Linked DNA regions of Mus musculus. The protein of the gene in region 2 purifies or fractionates together with the protein of the main gene of each other region. This does not show direct contact. Links are inferred from orthologs where the notes say so. Each region holds a gene or a part of one and is shown on either strand. Other genes may lie near its edges.

What was found.
Region 1: the proteins of Rad1 (region 2) and Hus1b purify together in Homo sapiens (co-immunoprecipitation; 3 studies listed by BioGRID and IntAct, counting the BioPlex papers as one, with this or other methods). This does not show direct contact. The link is inferred for Mus musculus from reciprocal best matches to the Homo sapiens genes RAD1 and HUS1B.
Region 3: the proteins of Rad1 (region 2) and Fen1 purify together in Homo sapiens (affinity purification with western blotting; 3 studies listed by BioGRID). This does not show direct contact. The link is inferred for Mus musculus from reciprocal best matches to the Homo sapiens genes RAD1 and FEN1.

What each region holds. Positions count from the first base shown.
Region 1 is NC_000079.6:30,946,048-30,949,167, forward strand, and holds Hus1b (checkpoint protein HUS1B), read right to left. Parts: upstream 1,715-3,120; 5' UTR 1,628-1,714; coding exon 797-1,627; 3' UTR 529-796; downstream 1-528.
Region 2 is NC_000081.6:10,484,432-10,488,884, reverse strand, and holds the start of Rad1 (cell cycle checkpoint protein RAD1), read right to left. Parts: upstream 2,868-4,453; 5' UTR 2,621-2,867; intron 2,433-2,620; 5' UTR 2,367-2,432; coding exon 2,169-2,366; intron 896-2,168; coding exon 787-895; intron 1-786. Other genes in the region: Brix1 (ribosome biogenesis protein BRX1 homolog), read left to right, coding at 2,992-3,150. UniProt on the Homo sapiens protein: Component of the 9-1-1 cell-cycle checkpoint response complex that plays a major role in DNA repair. The 9-1-1 complex is recruited to DNA lesion upon damage by the RAD17-replication factor C (RFC) clamp loader complex.
Region 3 is NC_000085.6:10,198,498-10,201,412, forward strand, and holds the end of Fen1 (flap endonuclease 1), read right to left. Parts: intron 2,601-2,915; 5' UTR 2,582-2,600; coding exon 1,439-2,581; 3' UTR 635-1,438; downstream 1-634. UniProt on the Homo sapiens protein: Structure-specific nuclease with 5'-flap endonuclease and 5'-3' exonuclease activities involved in DNA replication and repair.

The DNA.
Region 1 (3,120 bases), on a different chromosome or scaffold from region 2:
ACCATGACTGTCATCTGCTGCCAAGATTCCCTGTCATAATGGATTCTTATTGTTCTAAAAACCATAAGGCAAAAACCCCTCCTTTCTATAAGTTGCCTGGGTCATTGTGTTTGAGCTTACCAATAGAAATCAGAAAGCATGTCTGTGTTACAGCACAGACATATACACACACAACCTGAATATCCCGAAGCTTTCCCAAAATAGCGTTTACAAATAGTTCTCACCTTTCTTTAAATAGTCACCAAACAAACAAGTGTCTGACTCCGAGGTGAGGAAGAGAGTTGTCAGAGAGTTTAAACCCTGAAATGGCTACTCACCAGTAACGTAAAGACTCCTACCGAGGACCTTCAGAAGACCCTTGTTTGCCTCTCGGAATCTGTGGTGGACATACAAAATCCATCTCAGACCTTTCAGAGAGACTGAGCGCATTAAGTCTCTCAAAATACTTAGTTTATTTTAAAAGGAGAATTTTCTCACTCTTCACAATTTATTTCATAATAAAATAATACAATAATTGTTTCAGGATTCAGTTATATTATTTTATTATAATCCTTTTTTTCCAAAACAACTAAGTTGAATATAATGTAACTGTCAAAACCAAAAAAACAATCACATGAACTTTTAATTATTTCTCCAACTGTTTCTTAACAGTTTACAAAGGAAGCACTCAACAAAATAAACACTCTACCAAATCCATGGGGTTGCAGGCTTTTAACACAAGTAACTCAAAGTCTCAGTTCTGGAAAGTGCTTCAATTAAGAATTCTTTTAAAAAGAAAATCAAGGCTGCTTGAAATTCATGAAGCAGGAATAAAATACTGAAGAGAAATATCTTCATGAACCAAAACAAGATGAAGCAGAGTATTGCTCAAAATATTACATAAGGCCATTGTGGGGTTTATCTGATGTCCATCAAAACACTGTAGAAGCTTCCTATTATCCACCCGCACTTGCACCATGGTTTCTGGGTCTCTGCCTTGAGACATACACAGAACGGCATTTGGAGGATTTCCAAGATTTTTAAAATAGCTTTTAATAGTCACTCTATCAGTTTCTACAGTCAAGTTCATTCTGCCATTGAGGTTTGCTTCCACCAGCACATGACTGCCCACGTTTGCCATCCTTTCCACCATGTTCTTCAAGGTCTTCAGAGCTGGCAGATAAACACTCACATCAGAGCCCCGAACATGGGGCTCTGTGCAGTCTTTCCATCGCCTTCTGGGAAGCACCCTCACAGGCAAATCGTGGACCACAGCACGGGTGTGGCCGGGGCACGATGCCAGCTCCACCACCAAAGTAAGGCAGGGGCGCTGCTTGTTGGTGAGCTGGAGCTTCAGGGATGAAGCATTGCCGGCATTCTTCACGGCTCTGGCCAGATGCTCAGACATCAGCTCAAGACAGATCTCGTTGAACTCCTGCGAGGCACCCTCCATGCAGAAGTGGTGGAAGACATCGCGCCGCATCTCACCCCACAGCTGGGCCTCACCCAGCAGCCCCATGGGACAGAAGTACAGCCTGTCAGGGCACACACGGAGCACACAGACCTTCGCCAGCTTTGCTACGGTGCTGCTGACCTGAATGAAGAGCTCTATAAAACGCTTGCTGGTGATCCTGGCCCGAAACCTCATGGTGCCTCAAAACCTCGGTGGTAGAGAGAGCTGTGAGGAGCCCGCTGCCAGAGAAGTCAGCTGGTTCACTCTTCCGGCCTGGAGTGTAGCCTGCTTACCCTTCCGGCCTGGGACACAGCCAGTTCACCTACCAAGACTGGGGTGCGCTCTACTGCCCCTCCCTCCTGCCCCAGCACTGCCTGCATTTGGGTTCCACCTACCTGCAGGCCCACTTACACCTGAGGCCACCGAGGGCAGATGCTACAGGGACACACTTTGGACTGTCTCTTCACCTTCCTACCTACCTGCCCTATTTGAATATTTCACTGCTTCTGGTCTGCTCATAAGAAGGTCACTCTACATAGTGTGACTACAATTAAAATCACCAGCACCATTGAGACAACCAACCCTTTTAAAACATTTTGGTGCATACATATACTAAATATATATTATAGTCCTGTTCAGTCCAGACATTACTTGCAGACGTTACTACATGTCTTATAAATAATGTGATAAATTGGATACACATTTTATAACCTGGCATTTGTGCCTAAAATGCACATATAATGGATATCACTCCATACTATCACATGCTAGCAAGTCTATATCATTTTCATGGCTAGTTTTCCAGTATATTGATAAAAATAATTATTCTATAAGAGGAATTTACATGATCCAATTTTGACCTATTCCTAGGATAACAATGAATTACACAAAATACATTTACTTTTGTCAGTATTTACTTGAGTTAAGTTTAAAGGGAAATCTTGGTTATTGCATGTACATATTAAAACTCTTCTGTTACCAAACTTTCCCAAAGAAATTTCTATCAACATACCTTCTCATCAGCAGCATCATATAACAATCTATGTTGTATGTAGTGATGTGATAGGTAGAAGAGCATGGCTTCAACTTACAATGTATGTATGTGAATTTTACATTCATGACCTTTTGTGGAGTTTGTTGCTTGATTTTTAAGATCTCTGATAAGACCAGGCTGGTGACACATTCCAATAATTCCAACACAGGGGCCCAGAGGCAAGGAGGAAGGATCACAAGTTTAAGGAAAGTTAGGGTTACATTCTAGGCCAGTCTAAGCTACATGGTGAGATTTTTATCTTAAATAAATAAATGGGTAACAAAAGAATAAAATCTCTGACAAGAACATTAGCCCTCTGTCCCTGTAAATATGGCCCAGGTTAGTATTTGGCTTTCATATTATTGATGATGTTCTTTACCCTTAAGAAAATACTGAATCTTTGTATGTGAAATGTATTTGTCTTTTTTTTTTTTTGTGCTCCTAGAGTCCTGATCCATGTGAAATACAAAGGATGAAGCTCAAACTTCTATACTCATCTAGTACAGCAGAGTGTTTGCTCAGCTCCACTTTTTTCAACTAGGCAGTGATGATGATGGCACAGATCTCTGACTAAGGTGTCTTAGAGACCAAGATCTGACTGCTTTCTTCATCTTACTCCTGCCCCAAAATGAGTCCTGACTCTCATTCCAATCTT
Region 2 (4,453 bases):
CCAACTGTGAGCCTAATTAATAAACCCTAAAACTGCTTTGTCAGTCATTCTTTTCACAGCAAAAAGGAAGGTAAGGTAATAACATACCTTGCCTATTAGGATGACCTAAAATGAATAAATACCTTCACAAATATGTAAAGAACTAAAACAAACATTCAACTTGTAGTTTAAATATTTATGTCCTATGATTATAACAACTAGGAGGAAAATGAATTGGAAATCAGTTTCCCTTTATTCTTTAAAAATTTAATTCATATATACAAATGCACCCCCTAATTATTAGGGCCTAATACTTCCCTCCCTAGGACTCCTCAACTTGTTCCAAAGAAATGACTTTTCCCTCCCCTAGCTGCCATCAGCTGCCAAAAGCATCTCTACTAGGGGTGGGGCCTCACTAGTCCTTCCCTGAGAAGTTAGTTTTCTAACAAAATACTGTTGGGCTTGGGGCCGTAGCTCAGCTGTAGTCGAGTGCTTGGCTAACACGTATGAAGTGCCAGTTTCAATCCCCAACACCACATAAAACTATAAATGGTTGCCTATCTCTATAATCTCATCACTTGAGGCAAGGGCAGGAAGATAAATTCCAGGTTATCCTCAGCTACACAGGGAGCTCAAGGCCAGTCTGGGATACATAAGACTCTGTTCCAAAAAAAAAGATTAAAAAAAATTAAAAAGCTTATATTCTAGAAACCTTCCTGTATGTATTTTCTATTTTTTTAACCATAATAAATACTTTTATGCCACAACAATAGTAGTAGCAGTAGTTGTAGTAGTAAAATAGTTCACCTGGTGTAGGACTTGATCCAAAAATAGATAAACAGTCTAAAAGGATAGTTAAGTTAATTCGAAAAGTAACAGATTCTTCCTGAATGACAAATTCCTGAAACACGTCAGCCTATGAGAAAGCAAACATGAAAACATGAAAGTGGATTATATTAAAGAATGAAAATTCACACGTCTATATTTCACTTTATGCTTAGAAAGTAACAATACTCTGCCAACTCCATGAGAGTATTTCTCATTCCCAACTAAGACATACTAAGTTTTCAACCTTTCCCCACTTGAATACTACTGAATGGTTTAATCATTAAACGTGGAACACTAAGTGATGGCTCATCAGTTAAGAATACTTGCTAATCTTCTAGAAGACACAGGTTTAATTTCCAGCACCCACACGGTGACTAAAATCCTTTTGTAACCATTTTCAGGGGATCCAACACCCCCTTCACAGGAACTTGGCAGGAACCAGGTACACGCCTTTTGGAGACATTCATGCAGGCAAAACACTCATACACACGAAATTAAGAAGCCAGGAGCTGGAGGTTGGCTCAGAGGTTAAGAGCACTGACTGCTCTTCCAGAGGTAGAGGTCAATTCCCAGCAACCACATGGCTCACCACTATGTGTAATGGGTTCTGATGCCCTCTTCTGGTCTGTCTGAAGACAATGTACTCACATACATAAAATAAACCTTTCTAAAAATATTAAAAAGCCAAACACCACAAAGTTACCACCCCCTAGTAAGGGCTCTTCATCTTCATTTCTGTATCTAAATTTAACACCTATGTGAACTTGCCCTAACTCTGTCTTGTGCCTATCCCTTAAAGCTAAAGTCACTTAAGGATAGGATAATTCAGTGTCAGGCAGTGGTGGTACATGCCTTTAATCCCAGCACTTGGGAGGCAGAGGCAAGGCAGAAGCAGGCGGATCTCCAAGAACTTGAAGCCAGTCTGGTCTATAAACCAAGTTCCAGGTAACCAGGGTTACATGTTAGACTCTATCTCCGGGGGAAAATGCTCCGAGGAAAAATTACAGCCAATAAGAGGAAAAACTAAAACGTGCATGACAATAATACTGTAAAGAGTAAATAGGGTTCTCGCCCTAATTCAATCAGTTGTAAGACTACTGAAAATTAAATCTGGTGCCACTATGTCAAACGAGAAAGTGTCTATATGTGTAAAGATTAAAAGAGGAAAATGGTGAGAAGAGTCATTAATAAACTATCACTAGTAATCGTTATCTGTGTGAGACAAGATGGGGAAAGTATTTGTTGGCAGGAAAGAAAAAAAAGTAACGACATTTTGTTCACTAACTTGAGTTTTGTTGAATTAAGTCCTTCCAAATTCATTCATTAGGGAATGCTTTAAAAATGTCTTCACTCCCCCATACCTGAATAAAGGCATTTGCTTGCACACACTTTGCATTCTCCACTGTAACCTTGATTCCGTTTTTGGTAGCAAAACACGTGGCGTGTTCTCTGAAATGAATGGCTTTCAAGACAGTGGAGAGATTCCTAACGTTGTCAAGGCTGGCCACTAAGCAGTACTGTTCGTACTCCTCTTCATTGTACTGGGTTAGGAGAGGCATGGATGGTCCACGGTACCGTCGGCTCCGAGAAGAAGGATGCTCCTCTTCCGGAAGATGTGTGAAAACCTGAGACACGGAACAACAAACCTCGCTATCAGTGCGGACAGGACTGGCGACCTCAACCCGAGCCGAAATCGAGATCATTCTATTTTCATGTCTCAAAACTACGGTATTCTACACTGAATGCAGTTCACAGGGTAGCTCTAAAAGGCGCGGGTAACCGGGCTTGCTTAGCACCTCTGAGCGCCACCAACCTGGCTTGCAGGAGAACGCGACTTCGGCCCGCTCGCCGCACAGCGGCCACTAAGGGAGCCCCTGGCGCCAGGCTGTGGGTGACGTCCGACCCCTCAAAGCCCCTGCCACCCCAGCCCCAAGAACACCCTGAGCGTCCAAAAAGCTAGCAAGCCAGGCAAACAGCTCCCGCCACCGTTCAGATACGCAACCACCTAGGCCACCGTCACCACCGAGCCGCCGTGTGCCTAGAGAGTCTACCTCGAGACCGGAAGCGAGCGCCTTGGAGCCGGATGACTTAACTCACAGCCTAACGTGGGCTACCATAGAGATCGGAAGGCAGAGCGAGCGGCAGAACCGGAAGTGCAGGCAGCGACCGACGCGGCGAGGCGAGATGGCGGCGACCAAGAGAAAGCGGCGTGGAGGCTTGGAGGTTCAAGCGAAGAAGCCAAAAAGGAGCTCGAAAGATGCCGGGCAGCCAGCTAAGCAGGCCGATGTGGCCAAAGAGGCGGAGGAGGAAAATAGAGATCGTATTCCAGGTCCGGTTTGCAAGGTAAGAGGCCCGACTCCCGAAGTTGGAGTCGGCGCTCTGACCCACCTTTGGGCCACCGAAGCAGCGAAGTGACTCCAGTCAAAACTTGACAGGATCTTATGCTTAGGGTTCCCTGGAGGGACTGGACAGTGTTTATGTCTAATTTTCGTGTAGATGGCCTTCTTCCTGGAGACAGCAGTTCGTAGACCCTAAGCCAGTTAACAGGGAGTTGATTTAATGGGTGTTTAGTTCCAGGATCCTTGTCTTCCAGTTACTGACCCCCACCCCGCCTCCCCAGAGTAATGGTTTTCCTTTGTCTTTTTTTTTTTTTTTTCTCAGAGTCTTTTTGGTGTAACTATAAATTCCTTCTGTTTTGGTCCGTATCACATAGGATTACCGAAGTATGTATGTATGTATGTATGTATTTATTTATTTATTTGCCAAGCCTTTAAAGCTACAGTCCTGTGAGTCTGTGACTCTGACTTGTTTGGTTAGATCTTTTAACTCAAGGGTCCTAGACCACTAGTTTTACTGTGTCAAACAGTGCGACACACTTATACCAAGATGAGCTTCCCTGGCCTTAGCATCTAGGAAATAATGAACAAGAGTTCCTCCAGAAATATTGGAGTTTAGAAGGAAAGAAGGCTTCATAGAAAACTGTGTGTCTCTTCTAAAGGCCAGCAGGTTCTTGTTGGAGTTACTTTCAGTCACCTGGAAACTCCTTAAGGAAGGTATCTGTATGGAGGAAATCTTGCCTCAGACTTGTTAGTCCTTTGTGCTTAGTGTAGTACTCAAGTACTGAGTGAGGCAATGTGGACATTGTACCCCACTTTTAATTAACAGTTAAATCTTGTACCTTTGTCTGAAAGGATAAAAGTGACTTTTGAGGAAAATTAGCTGGTTTTCAATAAAAGTTAGTGCGCTCCCTCTTAGGAGCTGGACATGAAACATGAAGGGAACTAATCTGAATCACACTATGATATATGAATTGGAATTAATGAGACAATTACTACTATTAGGGTGGTAAGGAAACACCCTAATAGTAACTTTTAGCTGAATTTCAAAGAAAGGCTTAAATTTATGTATTTAGAAAGACAGGGGGGGGGGGTGGTGGAAAAAATTCATCAACGGCATTAAATGGGGGTTTAGAAATTCTAAACTCAGCTGGTTAGCTGAGAATGTGCAGGGTCAGTGTTGGGCAGTGGAGGTGTAAACAGTGAACATGTAGTATAGAGGGTATTTGACATTTTGAGGTTTGGAAACCAAGATTAAATTGGGGCTAGTTGGCTGTCAGCGGTGATTCTGTCTGGGCAAGCCAGACATC
Region 3 (2,915 bases), on a different chromosome or scaffold from region 2:
TTCTCTGGTATTAGAACCTACTTCTTCATGTAGATTGAAGATCAGTTGAGACATCCCTTGTGGACTAAACTACTGAATTCTTGACTTTCTTGTTGGATACCAATTGTTAGGCTATCGGGACCACACCCTGTAAGCCACTTTAGTGAATTTCCTTTTAACATATACATAGCTCATTCTCTGTTGTTCTCTGGGAAAACCTAAATGTATTAGTACTCAAAAACTTTCATTCTTCCCGGACACCTGAAATCTCAGTAAGAACAAGGCTTCTTTTATTTACCTACTTGTTTTATAGGTTTGTGGAGACAGGATTTGTGTAGCCCTGGCTGGATGTTATAAGATAGTTTATCTAAACTACAAGACTGTTCCAGGGGACTCCTTTATCTCACAGATGGTGGAACGTGTGAAATCCAGTCAAGCTATGCAAACTCCTAAGTACAAAAGGCTGGTGCCACCACAGCTGCTGTGGCCACCTTACATGGGCACAGCGCCACCTTGTGGTCAGTCCTAAACTAACCACTTGTTACCAGGGCAATCCCAGCCAGGCTGTAGGGGATTTTAGAGGGGGAAAGGAAACCATTATATTTATTCTACAGGAAACTAAGGCACTCAGGGTGTTTTCAAACATTCAGACACATTCTGGTCACTTTTATAATTTTATTGTTTTTTTTTTCTCTTCACATCTTTTAAAATAGAAATAGCCTATGAACAACAGTTTCTTCTCCCAAAACCTCAATTCAATTGATTGCCTCAGAAAGGCTGTCAGAACATCACTTGGAGGCACAGGTCAGTGGCACACTTAATGCCTTTGCCCTGGGGTCAATCCCCAACACTGGAGAGGGGAGAGACAAAAACAAAAAACTACAAATCAAAACTTAAACACTGCCATCTCACTCCCTGCACAACTACTGGACTCAGCAGGCAGCAAGTTCAAATTTCTGCCCACAAAAATCAGCTGGTCAGTACTAAATCTGTTGTCAGCCAGACTTCTCTCTGCTCGTCTCTTTGCAGTTCTTCCATCAGCGAATCCCAGGCTGATGGGCATCTTTCAGGGCACAGTGAAATTAGAAGGAGCAGTAGTCAGTCAGGTTCTAGTCACCTCTCCTCCACCAGCTGGCCAGCTGGGAAACTATCTCCAGCCTCGCTCCCGGCTTTATCTTCTTCTTCCTTAAGACATTGCTCGCAGTTGCACAGAACAATGACTACAGTGTCCATTAACCTGAGAAGTGGTTTGAGCCTGACATCTTTCCTGAGCTAAAAATGAGAAAAAGCAGAGCTACGGCCTTCCTGCCACAGGGTCAAGAGAGGGAAAGCTCTGAAGGGCAGCGCTGGGAAGCAATGAACTCTCCTCAAGACGAGGGACAAGAGGGATGTGCTGCAGCCGAGGGTACAAAACAGATAGACAGCCTGGGGTCAAGGACAGTGGAGGGGAAGGACAGGTTTATTTTCCCCTTCGGAACTTCCCCGCTCCCCCAGTCTTTGCTTTCTTCTTAGCAGGCCCCTTGGGTTCTGGCTCCTTGCGCTTAGCTGAGGAGAGTGAGCCTGTCACCTTGAAGAAATCATCGAGGCGTCCCTGGGTGCTGCCCTGGCGGCTCTTACTCAGCCGCTTGACCCCACTGCGAATTCGCTCTTCAGAAAACTGCTTTTCACCACACATAAATTTGACCAACTCTTCTTCATTTGGCTCGCTCCACTTCAGCTCCACAGACTCTGGGTCCAGTACTTCTGGCTCCAGGAAGAGCTGCTGGGCTTCCTTGTGGAGCCAGTTCTCTGGAACGGGGTACTTGCTGGGGTCCAGCCGCCTCACGATCTCCTCGATGCTCTTATGTTTCTGGATGAGATCCACAGCCCGCTTGGGCCCAATGCCACGGATGCTCTCGCAGTAGTCGCTACCCAGCAGGATGCACAGATCCACAAACTGCTCCTGGTTCAGACCCAGCTCCTGCAGGACGCGGCTCAGATGGAACTCTTGGATGGGCAGCTTCTTGGCCTCACTGGCAGTTAAGTGTCGCATTAGCACGGGGCTGCCAAAAGTGAGGCAGTCCATGTCCTCCGTGGCCGCAGCATAGACTTTGCCAGCCTTTGCCAGGGCAGCACAGCTGGCCTCTGCCTCGCTGGGTGCATCAAGGTAAGGGATGCCCATGAGGCTCAGCAGGTGTTTGCACTCATCATTGTGTTGCTTGGTGACCTTCACGAGCCTCTTGGTGAACTTCTCCACCTCCTCCTCCATCCCAGCCTCCTGAGCCTGCTGCAGTTGCTTCTCAGCCTCGGCGCGCCTCTCACTGCGCTTGGCCAGCTCGCCTGACTTCAGCTGTGGTGGTTTGCCATCAAAGACGTACACAGGCTTGATGCCATTCTCCATCATGCGGATGGTACGGTAGAACATGCCCATCAGGTGGCTGGTGGTCTCACCCTCCTCGTTCTGCAGCACATCCCCACCCTGACGAACAGCAATCAGGAACTGGTAGATGCTCATGGAGGCATCGATGGCCACTTTGCGACCAAAGTAGCTCTTGATGTCATTCTCACGGATGGCACTGGGGGCCACATCAGCAATTAGTTTGGCAAGGCCGTGAATTCCCATGGTAGCACAGGAGCAATGGCTAAAACAAAGAAAGAAGAGTAAGAGGAGGAACTTGGAGGATACAAAAGGAACAAAAGTTTTAAGTGGCAACATTCACCAGTCTCATGGTTCATCAAACTTAACATGAGACACAGCAGGACTCCAAGCCAGCAGAGCAGAAGAGGCAAAGGTGAACAAGATCCACCATTCTCAAGCAGGCCTCCTGACAATCAGAAGCTGTTCTGGGCGCTTCAAGGAATGAGATCTGGGATGTTCTTTTGTTTTTGTTTTTTTTTTTGGTTTTCCGAGACAGGGTTTCTTTGTGTAGCCCTGGCTGTCCTGAAACTCACTCTGT